3 linked regions of the Stegostoma tigrinum genome follow. The protein of the gene in region 3 interacts with the protein of the main gene of each other region in a pairwise test. Links are inferred from orthologs where the notes say so. Each region holds a gene or a part of one and is shown on either strand. Other genes may lie near its edges. The genes, in order: jade2, cobll1b and pacsin1b.

The links.
Region 1: the proteins of pacsin1b (region 3) and jade2 interact in a two-hybrid assay, tested with the Homo sapiens proteins (2 studies listed by BioGRID and IntAct). The link is inferred for Stegostoma tigrinum from reciprocal best matches to the Homo sapiens genes PACSIN1 and JADE2.
Region 2: the proteins of pacsin1b (region 3) and cobll1b interact in binary tests that used the Homo sapiens proteins (3 or more experiments, as listed by UniProt). The link is inferred for Stegostoma tigrinum from reciprocal best matches to the Homo sapiens genes PACSIN1 and COBLL1.

Annotation. Positions count from the first base shown.
Region 1 is NC_081366.1:30,388,813-30,396,801, forward strand, and holds the start of jade2 (protein Jade-1), read left to right. Parts: upstream 1-3,678; 5' UTR 3,679-4,061; intron 4,062-4,301; exon of another isoform or gene 4,302-4,455; intron 4,456-5,184; exon of another isoform or gene 5,185-5,267; intron 5,268-7,989. UniProt on the Homo sapiens protein: Scaffold subunit of some HBO1 complexes, which have a histone H4 acetyltransferase activity. Acts as an E3 ubiquitin-protein ligase mediating the ubiquitination and subsequent proteasomal degradation of target protein histone demethylase KDM1A.
Region 2 is NC_081360.1:62,967,570-62,975,558, forward strand, and holds the start of cobll1b (cordon-bleu protein-like 1b), read right to left. Parts: upstream 5,080-7,989; 5' UTR 4,693-5,079; intron 3,998-4,692; exon of another isoform or gene 3,522-3,997; intron 3,365-3,521; 5' UTR 3,292-3,364; coding exon 3,242-3,291; intron 1-3,241.
Region 3 is NC_081374.1:38,804,579-38,812,567, reverse strand, and holds the start of pacsin1b (protein kinase C and casein kinase substrate in neurons protein 1), read left to right. Parts: upstream 1-4,045; 5' UTR 4,046-4,275; intron 4,276-7,989. Other genes in the region: rps10 (40S ribosomal protein S10), read right to left, coding at 1,965-2,114. UniProt on the Homo sapiens protein: Plays a role in the reorganization of the microtubule cytoskeleton via its interaction with MAPT; this decreases microtubule stability and inhibits MAPT-induced microtubule polymerization.

The sequences.
Region 1 (7,989 bases), on a different chromosome or scaffold from region 3:
AGGTGAATTACTAATTCATCCCAATTAAGTATTTGAGGTTCTTGATACTGGAACATGAGAACATAAATTTAAGGATATCATATATGAGTGCAGGAGACAAATATTCTTACTCATAAGTGTGAAATTCAAGTATAGCAATCAAGGTTTTTTTATAGATGCAATTTTGCATATCAAGTAATGAATCTTTGCTTATGATAAGACGGTTGATATATTGAATTATAATGATGCATATTTTTGCGCGAAAACTAAAGTAAGAATGGAAGAAAAGGTAAAGTGGAGAACTACCGACCAGTTAGTTTGACATTAGTAGTGGGGAAAATATTACAATCTGTTTTAAAGAATGTGATAAGTAATATGTAAAAAATGATTAAATTGTGCAGTCAATGTGAAATTGCGAAAATGAAATCATGTTTGACAAATTTCTTGGATATGACACCTGACATTCATAAGGGAGAACCAGTGCATGTGGTTAATTTAGATTTTCAGAAGGCTTTGATAAGATCCCACACTGGAGGCTACTATATAAAATTAGGGCACGCGTGATTGAGAGAAAATACACTAGTAAGGATCAAAAATTGTTTAGCAGACAGAAAGAGAGAGTAGAAATAATCAAATCATTCGCAGAATGGCAGGCTGTTACTTATGTTGGAGCACAAAGACTAGAGCTAGATTCACAGCTATTCATAATCTGTCAAAATGATTTGGATGTGAGGGACAATCATAATATTTCTAAATTTATTGATGATACTAAAATCAGTGGGATCATCAGTTGTGAGGAGGGATGTAAGGAGGTTTCAAGAAAAAATGAACAGGCTGGGTGAATAGACTAGAGCATTTATAATGTGAATAAGCAAGATGCTATTCACTTTGGTAGAAAGAATATAAAAGAAGAATATTTCTTAAATGCTGAGGAGTTGGGAATTAGGGTGTCCAAAGGAACCTCGGCTTCCTTATTGATGAGTCACTAAACTTTGACATGCAGGTGCAGAAATCTATTAAGGAGGCGAACACCAGGTAAACCAGCATCAAAAGGGGATTTGAGTGCAAGCAGTAAAGATGTCTTGTTGCAGTTTTATAGAGCTCACACTTGAAGCATTGTGTCATTTTAGTTGCTTTTCCTAAGAAGGGATATATTTGTTCTAGATGGAGTGCAAGGGAGCATCAACTTAATCTCTGGGGTGTGTTGTGAGGAAAGATTGAGGGGATTGGGTCTATATTCACTCAAGCTTTGAAGAATAGGGAGAGATCTCATTGAAATTTGCAAAATACAGGGAGTGGGAGGATGGATGTACATAAAATGTTTCCCTGGACTGCTGAGTCAAGAAACCTGTAACAACACCTCAGGATGAATAGTAGGCTATTTGAACTGAAATGACAAGGAACTTCTTCACTTTGGAATCCTCTAAACTAGAGGATTGTGGAAATTCAATCATTGAGCATGTTTAATATGAAATGCAATAGACTTCTGCAGACGAATGATGTCAAGAGTTATGGAAGATATGCGGGAAAATGGCATTCAGATTGATGATCAACCATGATCTAGCTGAATGGCAGAACAGCCTCCATGAGTTAAATGGCCTACTCTTGTTTCTATGTGACCCTTTGTAGTCAAACAATTTAACTTCTGTCAGTATGAGGGCAAGGTTAATTAGTACTCCATTTCATTTTGAGGAAGTGAAATTATAAATTGTAAGCTTCTTGAAAATTTCAGGCTTCAGGCCAGAATTCTGCATGTTTTTCCTTTTTAAGTAAGTGTATCGCCAAAGTCAGTCAGAAGTTGCAGATGTTTAGAACTTTAGTATGGAAAGGCATTTTATGATGTCACAAGCTTTGCAAGTGACTTGCTTTGTTCCTGATGAGAATTATGGAGGAATTTGTATTCTGCTGGGTGATACAGACAAAGTATATACTAGACACATCATTTTTATTGGTGTATTTTCTCTAATGAGTTACTGAAGGTTCTGACGGAAAGTCAGAGAAAACAATGTTTTATAAGGATGGAAGCATTATATTTAATAAAAACATGATATACGATTCTCGCAGGCACGTAAGTTAATATTCTTTTAAGGTTGCAAAGTCAAATTTTGCTATTTAAACACTGGGAAATGAAGAGGACAATTGAGAGGCTGCTACTGAATGAACGGCACTGCAGCTGCTGGTTTCAATATTCTGTGCCCTTATCTTTAAACTTGTTTACAAGATAGAACTTAATCTTGAGACAAGCCACAAGAGGTTCAGGGCGACACTTAAGGTGTAATGGACTAGAATTGAATGCTATACTGTTACATAATTCAACAAGCTAAAGAGTGATATGGTTCAGATGCTATATTTTATCCTAAAGGATATTGATAAATGTACCAAAGTTAAATCACAGTGTGTACATTGATAAAAAATAAAACAATTTGACTTGCATTAACTAAACTAAGCTGAATCCACAACTTGTAAATTTCATATGGAATATCTGCAGATGCAGATGTTTTCCATACAACTATCAATACAACTATTTAGAAACAAATGTTTTCTGACTATTGTAGTATTATTTATATATATATTCAGACTTGTGGTTTATTTCCTTGAATAGATCTATGAAAGTTTGGAAACAGCATATCACAGATATTTGGGACTACCCGGCGGTGTAGTAAAACTATTATCTAAAGAGCATTGTAGTGTCTTTTTCCAGGCCGTACTGTCATTTAAAATCAAAATCCTTGACTGCCTCACACACAATAGAAGGAAGCTTCTCTCAGTGCACTTGAATGAAAGAGACGCTGCATCTCACTTTGAGGGCGAACAAGTCTCTAGGTTGTTGAATACTATGAAGCAATGGAACTAACCATTATTGCGTACACATAATAGATAGATAATAAACTGAAGTCCGTAAAGGAAACACGTTTCTCCAGTGGAGTCACACTGTCTGCATCTTTCCTGTACTCTATCTATTTAAAATAATGAAACAGTCAATAAAACTTTCGGAACTTGTTGAGTTTGTACAAGGAAAGAGACACGTGATGGATTTACATTATTTCTCCACTCAATTATGATTAGATTTCCATGCAGTTATCCTGCACTAAGCTTTAGTGTTCATGGTCGCACAATTCACTTGTTTATAACATCATCTTCAGAAATATGTTTGACTACGTAATAGCATCAATGACGAGTTAACAAAAATTTGAAATTTAACAAATTGGAACATCCTTCCTTAAAAGAAAGTGGCCATTTGACCTCAAGGACGCACTTCAGTGCAAGGTGGTTGATAACTTTACTTCTGCCTAAATGACCTCGGAGATTAATCTCCAGAGTGGGGACAATACATTCCAGATCTGCTAATTGTACCCTGTACTTTAATGTTCAGTAATTTTGCATGTGTCAAAAATCTCCACCGTGAAGAGTAAGGCGTTCTCATTGCAACACCTCTGGACAATTTAAATATTTTTTTTGAAAAATTGCATGCAGTCGCTGGGAGGAAACTGACATTTGATAAGAGCAAAACAAGATGTTTTACAAAAAAAAGGCGTGCATCTCTCGCTCTCCCCCTCCTCTTCGCACGCCTCTAATGAGTTTCCCCTGTCTTTGGTACGTTGCAACATTTAAGTAAAAGACGCCGGCTTTGACGCAGGGAGATCGTGTCTTTTTTTCCAAGAGGCAATTTTAAGTACGTCATTAATATGGCGCCAAAAGATTTTGAAGTATGAGCTATTTCGTTGCTAGGTCCTGTCGTGTACGCCCGTGCCAAAAAAAAAGAAAAAGAAATCCCTGGCTTTTCTGGAGGTAAATTTCCCAAAGTGAGTCTAGCTCGTCCTGAGATCTGAGGTCCAACCTCCCTCATCTCCTCTTTTATTTTTTTAAACATTCAAATTATCCGGAAAGGGATCGTACTGCACATACACACAAAATAAAACCCAAGAAGGGGAAGATAAGAGAGAGAGAGAAATAAGTAGCAAAGCAAAAGAAAAAGAAACCCCACACAAGATGCAGTTTGCAAAACAAAAAAAGAGAAAAAATCCGGATCGGGGCGAAAGGATCTGAAACGCAACAGGACTGCGTTAAAGTGATCTGAAAAGGTGGGAATGAGAGAGAGAGCAGAACAGAGCAGCGGAGCTGCAAACTGTGTGTGTATGTGTGTGTGTGTCTCTCTGTGTGTATGTGAGAGAGCGCCCATTGCATTTCATTGGCAGCCATCTCAGCCCTGTGTAACTGCATGTTTTTTTTTAACAGCGAGGGAGGGAAGGGGAAGGGGAGGGGGCAGAGACAGAGGGAGGGAGGGAGAGAGAGAGATTTAAATGTATTAATGGGCAATTGGATCGATGTGCGTTTCCTCCTGCGCTGCTTTTAACATATATCAGCACCATCGCATTCACATTACAACACCATCATCACCATCGTGGCCTGAGGACAGTCACCGCAAAAAAAGAAGCATATAGATCCGAAGCTTAAGCAGGCAAAAAAAATTGCATGGTAATTATTATTGATCGTTTCTAAGTAGAGAGAGCTAAGTAACTGTTTGGATTTTTGGAAGGAGGGGGGTGTGAATACAGTGGGTTTGATCTGCACCCCACGCATACAAATTTCCTTATTTTTTTCCCTGTCTACTTATTTTGGGGACCAGAAGTGCAAGGCTTAACTTTTTTTTCCTCTCTCTCCCCTGATATCATATCGCTGTTCCGTGTAACCAGTTACTGCAGTCCAGGACTCTTTAAAAAAATGTTTACATATTTTTGCACCCCAGGCTGGGAAGGAAGGAAGGAAGGGATGTGGTAGGGGTGCTTGCTGTTTCTTTTTTGAGAGAGATGTAGATTCTTGGGTGGGGGGGTGGAGTGTAAAGTGTTGTGTGTGAGGGGGGGTGGGATGAACATTGAAATGTTTTATTTTCACAAAATGCATCGTCTTTATTGAGTTACATCATTTTGAATTGGAGTGATTGGGGACGCTGTGTGTGTGTGTATGTTGGGACTACCGTTTGCAACGTAGGAGCTGTGTTTTTTAAAAAAATAATACGTTTAATACATGCTCTCGCTGTGTGTACATGTAGGTTCCTGAGTGCAAACTGCGCTGCTGACTCTAGGGGGAGTGGCTGTTGTTTATCCCGAATTCATTGCGCTCAGGTTCACCGGGGGAGGCGTGGCACGTCCAATTTCACCCCCCCCTTTCTCCACTAACCCCCCCCTCGCTTCCAGCAGCAACAATAACAACAACAACATCCACCCACCGAACAGAGAGAAGGCAAAGCCAAAGGCAGATGAAAAAAAGTTGCTGGATTCTACAGGCAGGTATAACTTCCACAGCACGCATCAAAACTTGGTCAGCGCCTAATTCCCCCAACCCCATCCCCCTTTCTAATTCCCATCCAAACTCTTTCCAACCCCCTCCCCCCTTTAAAAACTCTGCTGGATGCACAACTTTTTTTTCTCCCCCAAATGACAGATGCACACGTGTGGTTGCCTGATGCCGAGTGGCAATCACTTGACCTGTAGCTGCATCACGCACTGGGCGCAAACCCACAGACTGAGGAAGAGGAGGGACCGTTGACCTATATTAACTCACTCTATACTGGCAGCTTTTTAATTTGATTATGGGGGAGGGGCGTGTTGGACAACTTCCATTATCTTAATTTGCAAAATATGCAAGCAGTGAAACATAAGTGATGAAAATATTCTCCCCCCCCCCCCCCCGAACAGTGTGAAAGCCAGTTGAAGGATTGAGAACCTGATTGTTCGCGTGCAAAACTGAATTGTACTCCAAGGGAATAGAAGGACCGTCACAACGCAATACAATTTGTCTGTGAAAGGTCACTTCTTTTAATTGGAAGAGGAAGATCAATTGTCTAACGTGCAAAATGTTTTGAATATTTCGCACTACATCACCCACAGGCAAAATTAGAAGTGGTTGTAATTCTTTTGGAAATAATTTAATCATTTTGTCTTTATGATAAGAAAGCTTAGTGTTTTCACGAGCTGTGTTTGCAAACAACTTGGGTTTTAAGCCAGTGAATTAAGTTTCTGAAGTTTATTTGCTATAGTCATAATATGCTTCAGGATTTGTGTCAACCTTTTGCTTTACAAAGTATATAAATGTGGAGAGGGAAATGTGACAGTTGCACTGTGGTTCCCCTCCCCCTTTGAACATCTCTTGGCTGTGCATTACTTGCAAACTGGTGTTCTTGTGGTTTTTGTATTGTGTTCCTCCCTTGCTACATTGCTTTGGTGAAGGGCAAAGACATTTTCATTAAAAACTGTGCCACATGTGAGTTAAAAGGCAGTGGAAACTGTAGAGGTCAGTATTATGTCTGAGACTACTTTGAGATGTGATATGCAAGTATTGTATATTGATGAGCTGTCTATAATAATCAGCTGCTGTATTCGTTACAAAGTCCTTTATTTGTTTATGAGCAGGAGGCTAAAAGGGGCGCTTTTGTCCGTTGCTTGTAGTCCTTGTCTCCCTGCTTTGATTTGAAATGAATTGTATTGGATTGATGATGTTTGGATAATGTGTTAAGTGACATGGTGGCATAATGTGTTGGACTATTTAAGTTCAAGTCCAATACAAGTTTGATGTTTTGCAGATCTTTCTGATTTCAGTTACGTTGTTGTGGGGAATTGATACTGGAAAAAGCAAAAAAAAAGTGTCAAGGGCCCATGCCTGCAGAAAGCAGAAGGTCCTTATGCAAATACAGGGCCTAATGCCTGCTTGTGACATTGTTATGTTGCCAAAATGCAGCCTGCATTGGGCTGGCAATACTCTGGAAAATCAGGTTTACTTATAGACTTAGCAATAGGTCTTTTAAAGCACCAGTACAAGTTACCACTAAAATGCTTTATAAAAGTACACTTGGTAATGTGCAGCTCAATATAAGGTGCTATCTTCAAATAATGAGCGGTTGCTTGCAAAGTTCACCTTCTCACCCCAGATTGTGACCACATTACCTTCTCCTGCAGCAACATTTCAACCTCACTGCCTGTAAGTGAATTTCTGTCCTAATATTGTTCCAGGGTGGTTTCTGCACACCTCCTAGTGGTGGATTTTAGACTAATATTATTGGAAGGCATGAAACGCATAGTCTTCCTGCTCTTATGCCCAAAATTAATCTTGACCGGAGGGGATTGAGAGAGGAAAATGCAACAAAATAGGATAATTTGCTGTCAAATAATGAGTTTGTGATTGATATGAAAGTCCACATAGTAAGTGTGTACAGCTGTGGAAATCTGTGGATTTTAAGTAAGTCTTGTTTTCTGTGGACCATTTTGGAATTATAATCTATGGATGAATTCACTGCTGCCAGAGGAGCCTGTAAATAGAATTATTAAAAAATTAATTGTCAAAGCAGATAGCTAAATCAAACTTGTGTAAATCAACTGTAGTAGTGACCCTTATACTCAAAATTAGTAATTAATTCTGTGTTTACTGATTACTTAATCTTTTTATGTGCAATGGCATCACGACAGACACAACACTGTATAATGTTAGTTACACAACTGCTCAGGCTTCTGAATGAATTAATCTTCAGATGTGGGTTACTCTGGTACTCTTGTATTTGGTGCTCATTCCTAGTAGCATTGAGAAGTTCACATCGAGTCACCAGTTTGCCTCTGATTCCCTGTGTAGGTAGGTGGTCCTTGAATGATGTTGGGTAGAGAATTCCAGGACATTGACTTAGTGACAATTATGATATAAATTACAAGGGTGAGTGAGTTGGAGGGAATCTTGGATATGGTTATAATGCTTATGAGGTATTGTTCTTTGTGGTGAACCAGGGAAGGAAGTAATCCTGGTGATTTGAAGAGTGCATTCTGTAGATTGTGCTTGTTGCAATCATAGTCCACCAGTATTGGAGCCATGAATATTGAGCCCAGGAGAAAGGACGCCACTGCCTTCTTGAACTGCAGCAGCCCTTTGGATGTGGGGACACCAGTAGTACTGTTAGGAAGGAAGTTTCAGGATTTTGACCCATGTACGTTAGAGTAATTGTGATTATAGTTCAGAGTCAGTATGGTA
Region 2 (7,989 bases), on a different chromosome or scaffold from region 3:
TTTACTATTGACTCTCTAAGGAGGACAATTTCGGCAAAACGGAACTTGATACGGACCAGCTAGGTCTGGTGGTGGCTAGTTAAAATAGTTGAGCACTGAATTATTGTCCCTTGTCGTTGAAGCAAATGATAGTCATTCCAAAGGCAACAACCAGATGAAAGTAAAGGTACACAGCAGGCCAGGCAGCATTAGAGAAGCAGGAAAGTCAAAGGGTCCCAAGCCTGGCCTACTGAGTACCGCCAACTCCATACTGTTATCTTTGACTCCAGTATCTGCAGTTCTTGCTATCTTTGAACCAGATGGAAGTGAACATGTTTTAATTGGGAATAAGATCAAAGGCAAATGTAGAAAATATTTAGCAAATCAGCAGCTATACAACTTTTTACAAAATGTGTTAATGGGATTTGTGCACCAATGGTAAGCCAGGACTTTTGTCTATTACAAATTGCCCTCAAAATGGCTGTGGTGAGTTGCCCTCTTGACAACAGAAGTCATGAGGTTGTAGGTATGCCCCCTATTCAATTACAAGGGGAGTTCCAGGATATTGACTCCACAACAGTCAAAGTGCAGTAAAATAGCTCCAAAGCAATATGTGTGTTTGAGAGAAGGTTTTAAGTAGCAATATTCCCATGCATTTATTGCCACTGTTCTCCTAAGAAGTGGAGTTTATAGCTTAGAAGGTGCTGTCTAAGACTCAGTGAGTTTCTGCAGTGTATCATACAGATGGCACAAACTGCTCCACTCCATGCTTATGGCAAAGAAAGTGAATGTTCAGGGTGGCAGACAAGGGAGACCAATAAACAGTGCTTCTTTTTCTTGCTAGACAGTGTTGGATTTCTTCAGTATTATACAATCTCAACAATCCAAATAAGTACAGGGCATTCCATAACACTCCTTTCTTGTGAATTAACTCACCGCAACATTCAGAATCATTGCCCTGCTTTTGCAGCTGTATTACTTATACAGCTAGTCCAGTTCTTGTTCTAGTCAATGGAACCCCCAACATACTATTAATGTTGATAGTATGGATTCAGTGTAATATGTAATTTATTGTCATACAGTCTGTTTCCATGATGAATGATTCTTCGGTCCAACCAGTCCATGCTGACCATAATCCCAAAATAAACTCATCCCACCTGCCTGTGTTTGACCCATATCTGCCCAAACATTTCTTATTCATGTGCCTATCTAAATGTCTTTTAAATGTTATAACTGTATCCACATCCACCACTTCATCTGGAAGGTCATTCCACACATAAATCACTGTGTGTTAAAAATCTGCCCCTCATGTCCGTTTATAAAATCTTTCGCTTCTCACCTTATAAATATGACCTCTAGCCTTACTGTTCCACTCCTGGGAAAAGACAACTGCCATTCACCTTATCTATGCCCTTCATGATTTTATAAACCCCTACAAAGTGTACCCTCAACGTCCTACACTCCAGTGAAAAAAAGTCCCAGCCTATTCAGCGTCTCCTTATAACTGAATCCTGCCATTCCCAGCAAAATCCTGGTAAATCCCCTCTGAACCCTCTCCAGCTTAATGACATCCTTCCTGTAACAGGGTAGCAAGAACTGGGCATAGTACTCCAGATGTCCCACTAACATGTTGTACAGCCTCAACATAACGCCCCAACTCCTTTACTCAAACAGAGATGGTCAATGACTGGTACTTGTGGGAAGTCACATAAGTGCCACGCATCAGCCCAAGCCTGATGTAATCCAGGTTTTAATGCACATGGATATGGGTTACTGTATGGTAATAACAAGAGGCAAATGAGTTTGAATACTGTGCCGTGAACATGTCCAATTCTGACCTTGGATAAGGGAAGGTAATTGATGAAGAAACCGAAGAGGGTGCAGGGAAAGCAACTCATATTCCACTTGGGAACCCTGTAGCCCAATGGTATCAATGTGGATTTCACAAGCTTCAACATCTCCCCTCCTCCCACTGCATCCCAACCCCAGCCCAGCTCGTCCCCACCTCCCTAACCCATTCATCCTCTCACCTATCGCCTCCTCCCGCCTCAAGCCGCACCTCCATTTCCTACCTACTAACCTCATCCTGCCCCCGTGACCTGTCCATCCTCCCTGGACTGACCAATCCCTTCCCTACCTCCCCAACTACACTCACCTCTATTGACTCCATCCCTGTCATTTTAACTTGTCTGTCTCCTCTCCCCTATCCATCTTCGATCCGCCTCACCCCCTCTCCCTCTCCCACTTTTCTAATGAAGGGTCTAGGCTCGAAATATCAGCTTTTGTGCTCCTAAGATGCTGGTTGGCCAGCTGTGTTCATCCAGCTTCACACTTTGTTATCTCAGATTCTCCAGCATCTGCAGTTCCCATTATCCAAGAAATTGAAGACGGCTGGTCACAGGGCACTCACCTGAGGAACTCCCACTGTCACGTCCTGTGAAAGAGTATTAACCTGCAATAACAACAACCATCTTCCTTTGTACTAGCAATAACTTTCAACATTTTTTGAAACCAGGACTCATACTTGACATCCAATTCTTGGGTGCAATTTTTGCAGAATTGTGAGAAATTATAGCAAATGCCTTTGCTGTTTTTGCTTCACTTTCTCTTAGCAGTTATAAATCATCGGGATTTTGTCATTTATCCACACGAAAAGAAAGACTTACATATATGTGGCCTTTTTATGACCTCAAGGCACCTAACATTTTACACCTAATTAAGAACTTTTGAGGTGTAATTAGCCTTTCAATGTCATATTAAATGGATAATTTATTTAATAACATTTCTTAAATGATAGCCTACGTTACCATGCTAAACCTAACTCTTGTGGGTTGACTTTTCCAAAGTTTTTCTATCCCCCAATCACTGAAGCCCAACATTAAGCAAACATTCCGTATCTTTTGCCATTATCACAATTTCTCTGCAAGTCTGTCACGTTCTCTTTTACTGTTTCTACTTCGACGTGTGCCTATAGAAACTCTGGTCTTGCCTTCTATGAGTTGCTGATTTTCTTGCGTCTCTCTTTCTCAGATGGAATCGCCCTTTTTTTGTGATATGCCCCTGCTCTGCGAAGGAGTTATGGAACCAGGCGGCTTCAGTGAGTAAGCCATGTTTTCTAGTGCTTCCATGAGACAAATTGTAAATAGAAAGGAGACGTTATTTGCATTATCTCTTCGTGTGGAGGCCAAAATCTTCAAAAGGGGCAGTAATTTCATGACAGCTAAACTTGATGAATGTAAATGAAATTAGATGCAATACTCACCCTGAAGAAGGCAGAGTTGCAGTCCCAGACTCTGATACTTGCATTTCCATCGTTCTCAGTTTTTACAACAGTTCTCTTCTAACTTTCTCGTCAGCTGACTCCTTTTTGCCTTTCCTCGTTCGACTGTAAAGTAACAGCAAGAACCGAAGCAACGTTGAAGACAAAGCGATGTGAAAATGATTTCGGGTATTCGCGGCGTAGGACACTGCAGAAAGCTGGATTTGATCAACGCCAATGTGCGTGGATTTCCCCTTTCCCCTCCTCCTCCTCCTCCACAAACCTTAAAATGTGCAGGATTTGGTTCGCGATTTCGCGAACCTCTCTATTTCTCTCCCCTTCTCTGTGAGGGTTATGATCCAGCCCAGCTTTTGCCCAGTCTCCAGCGTAAACGGCTCAACTTAAGCGCGGCGCCGATCGCTCCCGCTCTACTTTCGCAAACACAAACATTTTCAAGCTATGACATGTGTGAGAACTTGCCCTCTCCACATCAAACTTTCCACGCTGTGTGTCTGCTCGATCCCGGACACGGCGGTTTCAACATACCCCTCCCCCACTGTCCTGCTTCCTCAGCACTCGGTTTCGCATAGATTGGACCCAATTGCACACCAGCACCCAACTCTTTAGCAAAGTGCTATTTGCGTACAACTACACACAAGTGGTTTTGTTTCCCTGGTTTAAGCTTCTGTTGGCTTGAGCTGCGCATCTCAATTCTTGCCACTAGGATGCGAGAGCTATCGTGCCAGGATTGAAGGTTCCACCTGCAATTAAAGCAGAACCGAACCCTGCCAGATTTTCAGTATATTGATCTTTAAAAAAAAATGTACGTCCCAGGCAACGATCCGTCCGAGCCTTTATTTATTTTCCCACTCTGTCCAGCCATCTTGCCAAACATGTCGAAATGCCTGTTTTGCGTTTTGATTTACATTTGATCGCAAGTCCCAACATTTTCACTTGGAATTCAAACGCATTTTTTTTAGTGCAACTAGGCTTTTGCGACCAACACCTTTTAACCTTTTCTACAGACCAACCGAGGTTGTTCAGCAGCTGTGTGGTGTGGGAAGACACATCGGTACTCTACCTATCCCTAAACCGGGAGGCCTAGGTTCGAGCCCCACCTGTTCCAAAGGTGCGTAATAACATCTCTTAGAAACAATGGGTTAACAGCACAGTTCGTGGGGATTCATGCAGTGCGGTGGCAGTGTCCCTGCCTTTGAGTTGGGAGGCTCAGGTTCAAGGCCCAGAAGTGTTATAACGTTTCTGAACAAGTTGATTAGGAAAAATAATAGGATAAATGGACAATTTCACTGATACCCTAGTGGCACCCTTAACATTTAAGAACTTTTAAAACAAATTGGACTTTGGTCTCGTTTTATATTGTTAACGTTTGACGTTAAAAGAAGTGTAAGAACTCTAAACAATTCCTTACAGTACTGTAATTTTTATTTCCTCACCATTGCTTAACTTTGAGCGAAAATGAACACTGGCCACACACGGTTGTTGCTTCGTAGGAAGGTAGACATCTAGTGAAGTTATCAACGCTGCAATCTGGTGTGACTCGACTCACGGAAATTTGGGAAGACCCGACTTCTGTTCACTCCCAGCTGCGCTTTATCGAAGTTGGGGGAGAAAGGTGTCCAGCGTGTTTAAACACCTGCATTTCTCTGCATTTTCCTTTATCTAGCCACTCCTTCTTTTGAAAGAATGTGCTTCTCTTGTGAATGCGATCATTTGATACAGTGCGAGTTCTTTCAACTAGTCAGTTTCTGCAGTTTGACCTATGAAAACTGATTAGTTAGGCTCAGATTTCCTAAGAATTCACCGGGAGTTTGAACAGCAGGAAGTTGTTCACGGAGTCGTGACACATAACCCCGCTTGGATTTCGTGTTAACGAAGAAAAAGTTTATTTTCAATTGATTACTGAATTAGTTGAAGTCACAATATTTCCGACGAGACCTTACTGCGAAATAGCAATTTGATATAATTTTGAAGTTTTTTTTTGCTCTGTTGTCAAACACATTACTAAAGACTACTCCGCCCAAAACTAATCCCTTGATACTACGGCCTCCCGATGCCGCAGCAATTCTATCCGTTTGGGACGCGTACTTTTCTGATCTTAATCTCTACCTCGTGGCAGAAGCGTGTAACTGCAGCTATGGCCGTGTCTGTCACCTGCAGATAGAAGTAATTCCAAGGTGAGGGCCAAACCATGAGAGATTCAGTGACATGTTGATGTATTGGTTGGGGAGTCGGTGGTGTAGCAGTAATATCGCCCGACTAGCAATCCAGAAGCCCAAGGTGATAAAATGGATAAAGTTGTGGAGTTTAAATGTAATTGCTAGACCTGGAATGTAAATCAAGTCTCAATAATGCTGACCTTGAAACGGTGATGAACTATTATAAAAGCCCACTCGGTTTACTAATGATCTTTAGTGAAGAAAATCAGCTAATTTTACCCAGTCTGGGCATGTAAGACTCCAGACATACAGTAATGTGGTAGAATGTAGTTAGCACTGAGGGTAGTTAGCCCTCTAAAACAATAAGCCACTTAGTTTATATGACACTTAGGAATTGGCCACAAATGTTGTCCTGGCTAGTGGCATCTACACAGAATAAAGTTCTTAGAAGGTATGTGAAAGCATTGGTGAGCACAGAAGATATTTACATTAATGGTTCCAGTGATGAAGAATCTTCAACTATAATGACAGATCGGAGAGGGTGGGTTTGTTCTGTTTTCACAGAAGAAGGCTAAGAGATCTGATACGTGTTTTCAAAATAATGGGGGATCAGATAGAGACAAATTGTTCCCACTTGTAAAAGATCAAGAGAGCTAGTGCAGACATGAAGGGCTGAATAGTCTTCTACACCATAGCACTTATGTGGTAATGTGACATGTAATGGGTGCAAAGTTCAAATATGTGTAGATTGGAGATCATGTATAGACATGCTTGGTGCTTTGCATGGGTCACATAATCGTGCCAGCCATTGCTCACATGACAACCTATTACTGCAAAGGACATTGATGGGCATCCCCAATGCCCAATGGAAACCTCTCCAGTGATGAGGTCAAGGTGTCACTCAGCTCTATTTATGATTTTGTCGCATGCAGATCCTTTCAGTACACTTACTTATTACATAGCAAAATCGTGCTTTTGGGCCTAGCAGTAGTGATACTTAAAGTTCCAAGTTTCCAATTTACAGGTAAGATAAATCATTATATTGGTGGCTGTTGAAAACTTTGCAAGTGCGCAGGAATGTTTTTAGAATTGATTTGGTGAGTTCCTACAATTGACAGAAAGTGTTACTTTACTGTAGGGCAAAGAGCTTAGTCACCTGCTCATTCAAAGGCTGTTACATAACATGGGGATACAGTTCCAATGTCATTTGAAGTCAGTTCAATGGCATCTGATGGAGGAGACAGCATTCTGAAGGTAATCTGAAGTTAAGTGTTGATTCATCATGACAGGAGGTTTAGCCCTATACGTCTCAGTGTACATCCTCATTAGCACTCGCCTCTATGTTACTATCTAAAAGGCCTCATTTGACCCTCCTGTAGCAGATTTCAGTCGTGACCGTGACCTTCAGTTAGAGTTGACAAAAACACTATCCTTTTCCTTAGCCTGGCTGTGGCCCAGTTGTGCCTGACTCACCAAATGCAAATCCCTACTCTTTACTTGTATCCAAGATACATGCAATGCCACATCTGATAGTGGCTTTATGATTCAGAACAAATGCTGATGTTTCTTTCCTGTGCTGTTTCTTTTTTCTGAGTCGTTATGGCTGGGCTGTTGCAGGTTTTGGATATTTAAGAGCAAGAAATCAAAAAAGCAATCTGAACAGCTAGAGATAAATGAAACAGAGATTTCAATGTGGGGATGACGTTATTGGAATATATATGAGGGTGAGGAAAAGTATCTCGAAATCACGTCTGTGTCTTAAGTGTAGGAATTGCTGATCAGTGAGTGCTGGGGATGTAGTACCTTAAGCAACACAACAGATTGGTGAAGCATTGGGTGCAGAATTCTTAGGAAGATCCTTGACTACCCTCATGAAGTCATTAAACCTCCTTTTGCATTGATGTGAATTCATTGGGGGCTAAACTCTGAGAAATAACCTTGCCAGTTACCTGCACCCATTCCTCTTTGAGGGTGATTGTTGAGCGGCTTGTAGCCTCTGCAGAAATATGGGCTGTCTCTTCCCATTTATTTCCTCAACTGAGGCCCCCAGCACTACCTGTGAGTGTCTCCCTGTACTGCTGTTTAGTTTCCTTGTTCAGAATTGCAGTACTGGTATCTAATGTCAAAGACCAGTGTACGGTCAGAGAAGGCTATCTATGGAGGTTGCTGCTGCTCTCTGCACTCTTGTTGAATTTGTCTCCCCATCCAATCCAAATTCCGGTCATAGTTCTTCAGCTACTGGTGGAGATGTTGAAGAGAATTTTTGGAACAATATTCCATGTGTTGGACAGTAGGAAGACTACAGTTGGTGTTGGTCAAATACACTTTCTTGATAATTGTCACAATTATAGCATTTCACAGATTCCTTGGCATGCTATCTTCCTGTCAGATGAGGGTGATATGGGTTATGTTTTCATGCCAGGAGTGTTTCTGTACTGTATTTTAGTGTTTGGGCATAGATTCTGTCTGCACCTGTAGCCGTTTTTGGTTTCAGCTATCAGATGGTCTTTTCAATCTTGTATCGAGCTGTGGTTGTACTGAGATAATGCTATGGAATATGGCACCCCATCAAGG
Region 3 (7,989 bases):
AAATGGTCATCACCTGGCAGCTGTGTGGCACAAACATCACTTGCCATTTATTACTCAAAATCTAGTACAGTCCAGCTCTTGCTGCATGTATGGGTACAGACTGCTTCAGTATTTTAACAGTCGCATAGAATACTGTGCAATCAGCAAATATCCGCACTTCTGACCAGAGGCAGCTGAAAAATGATTGGCTTTAAAGTATACCTTGAAGAACACTTACAACTACGTCCAGGGAAGACCATAAGACATAGGAGTCGAAGTAAGGCCATTCGGCCCATTGAGTCCACTTCGCTTTTAATCATGGCTGATGGGCATTTCAACTCCATTTACCCGCACTCACCCCGGCCATCCCTTAATTCCGTGCGAGATCAAGAATTCATCAATCTCTGCCTTGGAGACATTTAACATCCTGGCCTCCACTGCGCTCCGAGGCAATGAATTCCACAGGCCCACCACTCTCTGGCTGAAGAAATGTCTCCTCATTTCCGTTCTAAATTTACCCCCTCTAAATCTAAGGCTGTGCCCACGGGTGCTAGTCTCCCCGCCTAACGGAAACAACTTCCCAGTGTCCACCCTTTCTAAGCCATGCATTATCTTGTACGTTTATATTAGATCTCCCCTCAACCTTCTAAACTCTAATGAATACAATCCCAGGAGCCTCAGCCGTTCATTCTATGTTAGGCCTACCATTCCAGGGATCATCCATGTGAATCTCTGCTGGACACGCTCCAGCGCCAGTATGTCCTTCCTGAGGTGTGGCGCCCAAAATTGGACACAGAATTCTAAATAGGGCCTAACTAGAGCTTTATAAAGTCTCAGAAGTACATCGCTGCTTTTATATTCCAACCCTCTTGAGATAAACGACAACATTACATTCACTTTCTTAATCATGGACTTTACCAGCTAGTTAACCTTTAGAGAATCCTGGACTAGCACCCCCAGATCCCTTTGTACTTTGGCTTTATGAATTTTCTCACCTTGTTACTTGATACACAGCCTCCAATAACCACAATCATCATCTATGTATCCGACTCCAAACCCCCACCATCCCAAAATTCCTGTTTAGCAAGGGCTCCTCAATGCCACTTGGTCAAACACTACATTGATATCAAGGGCAGTCAATCATACCTCGCCTCTTAAATTCAGCTCTTTTGTTAATGCTTGGATTACAGTTATAATGAGGTCAGGAACTGTATGACCTTGGTGGAGCCAAAACCGAGAACCAGCAAGTAGGTCACTGCTGTGTAACTGCTGCTTGTCGACTATACCGTCTAACCCTTTGCTGAAGTTTGAGAGCAGCCTGACAGGTGATAATTGGCTAGAATAACTGACTCTACCCAGGCAAGTTTACACATACTAGGTAATTGCTAGCTCTGTCCCTTTACTGGAACAGCCATGCTGAGGCAGTTAGCTTGAGCACATCCTCAGTATTATTGCCAGAATGCTGTCAGAGCCCAAAGCCTTAGTGGCGTGCAGTGCTTTCAGCTCCTTCTTGATATCATAAGAAGTGAACCAAATTGGCTGAAGACCCCCATCAGTGATGTCAGGGATTTCAGGAAGTTGGATCACCCCACAGCACTTCTGACCGAAGCTGTATGTAAAAATGAGGCCTGTCTTTCATTCTGATCGACGGCAGCCCTCTCTATCTTTGTGGTCTCCAGATCTATAACAGCGAGACAACTGCAACTCTCGAATGCTGACCAATCTTACCGTCTCTCCACCATTAGTGATCATGTATTGAGCTGCCAAGATCCTAAACTCTGAAACACCCTTCACACACCCAATACTGCTTACTTTCCATTTTTAATATTCACCTTTAAACATTATCTCCCTAAACACGTTTTTGGCCATCTGCCTTACCATTTCATCAACTAAAGGCCAGTGTCAAATTTGTTTCATAACGTTGATATGAAGTTTCTTCGAAATTTATAGACTGTTTATAAATCATAGTTATTTAAATATGATACCTGCATGGCTTTCATTACGTGCAGGTTTGGGACATTTTTGTCTGCCAGTTCTGGATGTTTTGGCATATGCACATCCTTCTTGGCTACCATTACCCCCTCCTTGAAGAGGAGCTCATAGATAGCAATACGATTCTTCTTAGGCATCAGCATCTGAAATAAAACAGAATAGGGGACTTCAACATTGGAATTTCACAAGATCTAGTTTGGTCATAACCTAATATTAGGTGATTCTCTTCCAATATGCACACGTTCACTACAACATTTATCTTATATTTTTGGTTAAGAGTAATCCAGAAGTACGCTGACAGTATCTGTGGCCTGGAACACTCAGTCCCTCCTGTTTATAACAACCTCCATCTGACAGCCTATAGAACAATTCTGAAGTTTGTTTTAAGAAAATGAAATAGCAACAAGGGGCTTATTACTAATTATAAATTTAGTCATTACTGATTAGAGACAAGATTTACAAAATTCAGTGTCCTAGTTAGACTCCCTCCTCCCTGTCCCTTTCAAAATTCCACCATAAGGTGTCCGTATTGTGAAATGCCTCTTCAAAGTTGTCTTTCTTCAACACCTACATGTCAATCTCTGTAGGAACGTCAACAGTAAAGGCAGCTAGAGACAGCGTAGGGCATATGCTTGGCTTCTTAAGGGGCCAGCCCAGATCAGGAGCCTGGGTTCTGTATTGAACATGTGACCTCCCACAATTTGGTAGTCTCTCTGCCCAAAGGCCCAGTGTTGAGGCACAACCTAAACTGCTGATGAAAACAGCTTTCAAACCAACAGTTTCATAATGAAGCTGAAACAAAGTAAATTAATCAAAAGATTGTTCTTATCTTTAGATGTATTTCTGTTAGTTACATCTGAAGATAAAATACAATCATTTTTGAAATATCACACTTAAGCTACTCAAGAGGCAGCTTCAGAAAGCGACTCCAAGCATACAATTTAGAAGTAGGTCAGCCAGCCCTTCAAATCTGCATTGCCAATTAATAAGCTCACAGCTGATCTGCATTCCAAATTCCACAATTCTATCTTTTATTATTCCTTAATAAGAGTGACAGTGGATTGATCATTATTTTCAACAATTCCAACTTCCTGAGGCAGAATATTCCATCACAGATCCACTGTAAAAAAATTCCCCTTACTTGCTGTAAAGAACATGACCCTAACTTTAAAAGTGTCCCCTCATTCCCGAATCACCCACCCTTTCTCTTTCCACCTTGTCAAGACCCTTGAGGATCTACAGGCTTGAATCAAATCACCCTCTGCTCTCTTGAATTCTAGTTGATATAATTTCAGCGTGTCCAAAGTTCCTCAGTAGACAAACTGCTAATTCCAGGTCTGAAATCAGTAAACTTCCTCTTAATCGCGTTTTCTTCTTAACATCAGTGCCTTTCCACCATGTGTATCGTCGATATTACGCTCAAACATCTATTACAGGAACTCATCTTTGAAACAGCGGTATAAGAGGAACACTTTCACCTCGGGGAAACCAGAAAGCTTGCATAAAATATTAACTTAATACTAACTATAACGGCACAAAACAGACACCTTTAAAACTACACAACATCCTAGAGAAACAACTTCCTGTAACTTTTATTCAGTCAATTAACAGAGCCTGAGGCCTACCCTCTCTATATCACCAAGACTGCAGCAGCAACTGGGAGGTATTTTATAAACTATTCAATAAATACTTATGAAATTATAGAAATGAGTGAGTGAATAAATACAGATGACGCGTGTCAACCACCATTGAGGTCTTGAAAGTTCACCCCAGCGGGATGTTAGAGATATTTAAGGATTTTGGACAGCCTTTCTTCACATACCTTGAACTCTAATAATGGGGCTGAAGCCGGAAAAGACCGAGCATGCGCACTCGGAGCCTCTTCCTCCTTCGGCGAGGGTCCTTAATATTGCAATCTGCGCTAGCTGCCCTGACTTAAATAAATCCTCGAATAATTAGAAGGAATAGCCGAGTTTGATATTTTTAAAAAAAATTATACTTAATAAATGCAAATTGTATTTTGTCCCGATCGGTATAAAAGATTGGGCGCGTTGGCCAACTGGGTCTCGAGGGTCAGCCGTTAGTACCGTTGATTTAAAGGAACGGTTGTGGTTGTGGCGGTAAGGGAACGATTGGTGTGTGCTTCTGCACAGGGGTACTACTGAGCTGCAGTGTTGTGGCCAACATGGAGACTTTTATCCCCGATTACAGTACTTCATTTGGGCGCAGTGATGGTGTTTCGGGCAGTCGTGCCTCCTGGGAATTGTAGTTCTCGGTGGATGTTGTTGGAGCAGCACCAGGACAGTGAGTGGCGCTTAGAAAATGCTGGGAATATTTATGCACAAATATAAGCTCAAATGGAAATATAGTGGGAAAATTTCTGCAAAATAGTAGGATGCTGGGAATATTTCTGCACAAATATAGGCTCAAATGGGAATCTAACTGAAATGTTGAAAATACAGCAAGAAGACTAATCTTTCATGTTGCTTGCTTTCAGAACTGCAATCTAATTATATAGAGCTGCAACCCTGCTTTCCCCCTCCCAATCCAATGAATAATTCACATGAAGAAACTTGAAAGTCTGATTCATGTGGCTGATGCTGATATTTAACATAATTTGTTCACGTTACCTAATTGGCTTATTTTCACTAACAGTTTCAGCCATTTCTGATTTATTTCATTGTGTCACTTGCTAACCTCAACCCCTTTCACATCCCAATCCTACCTTCTATAGATGCTGAGGAAAAATCTATCCCTTGTTGCACTTGCACCTGCCCAGAATCCCAACTGTCTACCTTTTTGGTGTCTGTAGCTATTGATTTATTCAGTTGGATTCTTCCTCCACCTTTTGATGCTGTAGGCCATGAGGAGGAAGAGTGAGGCACTTGTCACTGCCCTCCTGTTCTTTAGATGACATGTCCATCATGGGCCTCCTGCAGTGCCACAATGATGCCATGCAAAGGTTGCAGGAACAGCAACTCATATTCCACTTGGGCACCCTGCAGCCCAATGGTATCAATGTGGACTTCACCAGCTTCAAAATCTCCCCTTCCCCCACTGCATCCCAAAACAAGCCCAGTTCGCCCCCTCCCCCCACTGCACCACACAACCAGCCTAGCTCTTCCCCTCCCCCCACTGCATCCCAAAACCAGCACATCCTGTCTCTGCCTCCCTAACCTGTTCTTCCTCTCACCCATCCCTTCCTCCCACCCCACCCCTACCTACTAACCTCATCCCACCTCCTTGATCTATCCCCTCCCAACCTCCCCATCTACACTTTTCTCTCCATCTTCGGTCCACCTCCTCCTCTCTCCCTATTTATTCCAGAACCCTCACCCCATCCCCCTCTCTGATGAAGGGTCTAGGCCTGAAACGTCAGCTTTTGTGCTCCTGAGATGCTGCTTGGCCTGCTGTGTTCATCCAGCTTCACACTTTATTATCTAAGTATTCAGAGAGCTTCTGTCTTGGGTAGATTGAGGACCAATGTGCGGGATGCTGTTGGTTAACAGAGGAGGCTATCAGTGTGTTACAACATTTGCTGCAGTCATAATTTCAGCTATACATGAGCAGCATTGCCTATGTCTGCCAAGGTGATCATCACCCTTTTTATGCCATTGACTCCTTTCCAATTGCAGTAGACGACATAAACAACAAATCCTAAAGTTGCCATTCACCGCTGTTCAGGAAGGTAACTGAGGTCACTAGACCAGGGAAAACACTTATATTTTCTTCTCCTGGAGTAGAAAAATGAGTATGAGGGAGTGCTAGGTTTCATCTGCATTACAGCCCCCCATTACCTGTCCAGCAGTTGTATCATATGAAAGAGATTTTACTCCTTTAATATGTTAACGACCAAGCAGTCAACCTGCTCAAACAATGTTTTCACAGACGATTTAGAAGGACCTGTGCATTATCCCTGAGTGGGTATCCAGATTAGAGTTATCTGCTGCGTGTTGCGTAACTTTGCCGTAATCTGTCTTTACCACCATTTGGATAGGAAGAAGTGAGCTTTCAGTGCAACTGTGAGCTGTCAGGAGAGATTCCTTGATGGTGGGCAGCAGTGTCTAGTTGATGGACTTTGCACTTTGTCCATATTGGATAGAATACTCTCCATTCTGTGCAAAGACATAACATGGATTGGAGCATGACTTTTCGGTATACTGTGACCTTGTGCACCAGTTTGCTGGCAGACTGCATAGTGCAACTAGAATTTCCTGGACTAAGTTCCTCAGAATTCACTGATTGCTTCATTTTGAGCCCTTTATTTTTCAGTGCAATGAGGTGTTTCACTTGGAGCTGGTGTACTTGGTCACCATCTTTGAGCACTCTGACCTGAACTGCTTGGCCCACTCTCCAGGCAGCAGCAGGCACACAGCAACCTGGATCTCCTGGGAGTTGATGGAACTGCACTTATTTTTGGATTGGTGATAATCTCATTGGCAAATGAGTTCATGATGTAGCTAGGCTAAAATACAATCTCTCTTTCTGGTGAACTATACCAATGGCACCCTTCACGCTTTGGCCAGTGATTTTAATATGTGAAGACCTTCCCCTTGTCGAGAATGTAACATACATGGGATGCCAGTATCCATGCAGGTGCTGACAAGGGTGAGATTGAACACATATCTTCAGGAATCTTCCTCAGATAATGCCATACATCATTAGCACCTGCAAACAAAGACAAGAGCTTTCTTTTTGTATGAAGGAAGAGCAGAATGAAAGAAGTCACCAGTGAAAACATTTGCAGTTGAATAAATATCACATATTGACTGTGACAGTGCCTTTCTATTTATAGTCATGCATGATTAGGCTTTGATAGCTATGAAAGGTGGTGCAAATTTTAAACCAACAGATGTTAATTTAATGTTTCTGAACAAATTGTTTTAAATTCTTTGTAGTGATCAGTTGTAGAATTCATTGGTTTGCAGTGCTCTATTTATAGTGCAGTGATTATGCCAGCATTACCCACCCTGACCTGATAACCAAGGGTGTTTATTGGAGAGAAAATGTCAGCTTTTCCTTGTGGCACATTGATACTTGTTATGGGAGCTTGATAAATGCAATTGCCGTTCAATGTGATCTCCAGAACACTGGGTAGAATCCCATTAATGAAAACAATCTGTCTTGTGCAATGATATGACCGATTATCCCTGCCAATAACTTATGGAATCTCTTACATAATTCTCCTTTTTAATAGTCCAATATCTTGTGCCATTTTGTTCTCTTGAGTACTTTTTAATAAAGATCATTATTGCTGATTACTGTCAATGCTGTTTACTTAAAAGAAATCGATTAATTGCGCTCCACATGCAAGAATATTGTTAACAATAATATGTTTAAGCTTCAGGTTATGGAATATAGTGTCATTGGAATGTTTTAATTGAATTGCTGTCAAACATTTCACTGACTTTGGATTTGTAATGGCCCTTTTTCTGATTGGACAACAATATGACATGAAGAGCCACAAATTTAAAATAGAGATGCAGAGCCTGATTAAAACTGCCTGACATAATTGATTCTTTTCTCCTGGTATAGTTACTGAAATGAACCTTTTTTTCCTTCTATGCCCACATCACTCCTTGCCCAAAGGATAGATAAATAACCTGATTGTAGGCTTTCCTGTCTGTACTGCATGGTTGACATTAGAATCATTAGAAATTTGTGTTATGAGAAAAAATATTGATGTGATCCTGCTAGATAGCAAAATATTCCAAACACTGAGAGCTGAAATAAAAACACAAGTGCTGAAAACATTCAGCAGGACAGGCATCATCTGTGGAGGGAAACAGATCTAATATTTCAGGTCATAATGATTCATCATTGGAAACAAAGATAGAAATATAATAATTTTAAAAACAATGGGAGTGGGGAAGAGGCAGGAGTAACAAAGGGAAGGACTGTAATAGTGTTAAAAAAAAACAAATAAATATCAAAAGTTTTCATGATGCAACAGTCAAAGAAAGTGGTAATGGATATATTACAGAAGAAAAAAGTTTTGTCCAGATGAGGCTCGAATGG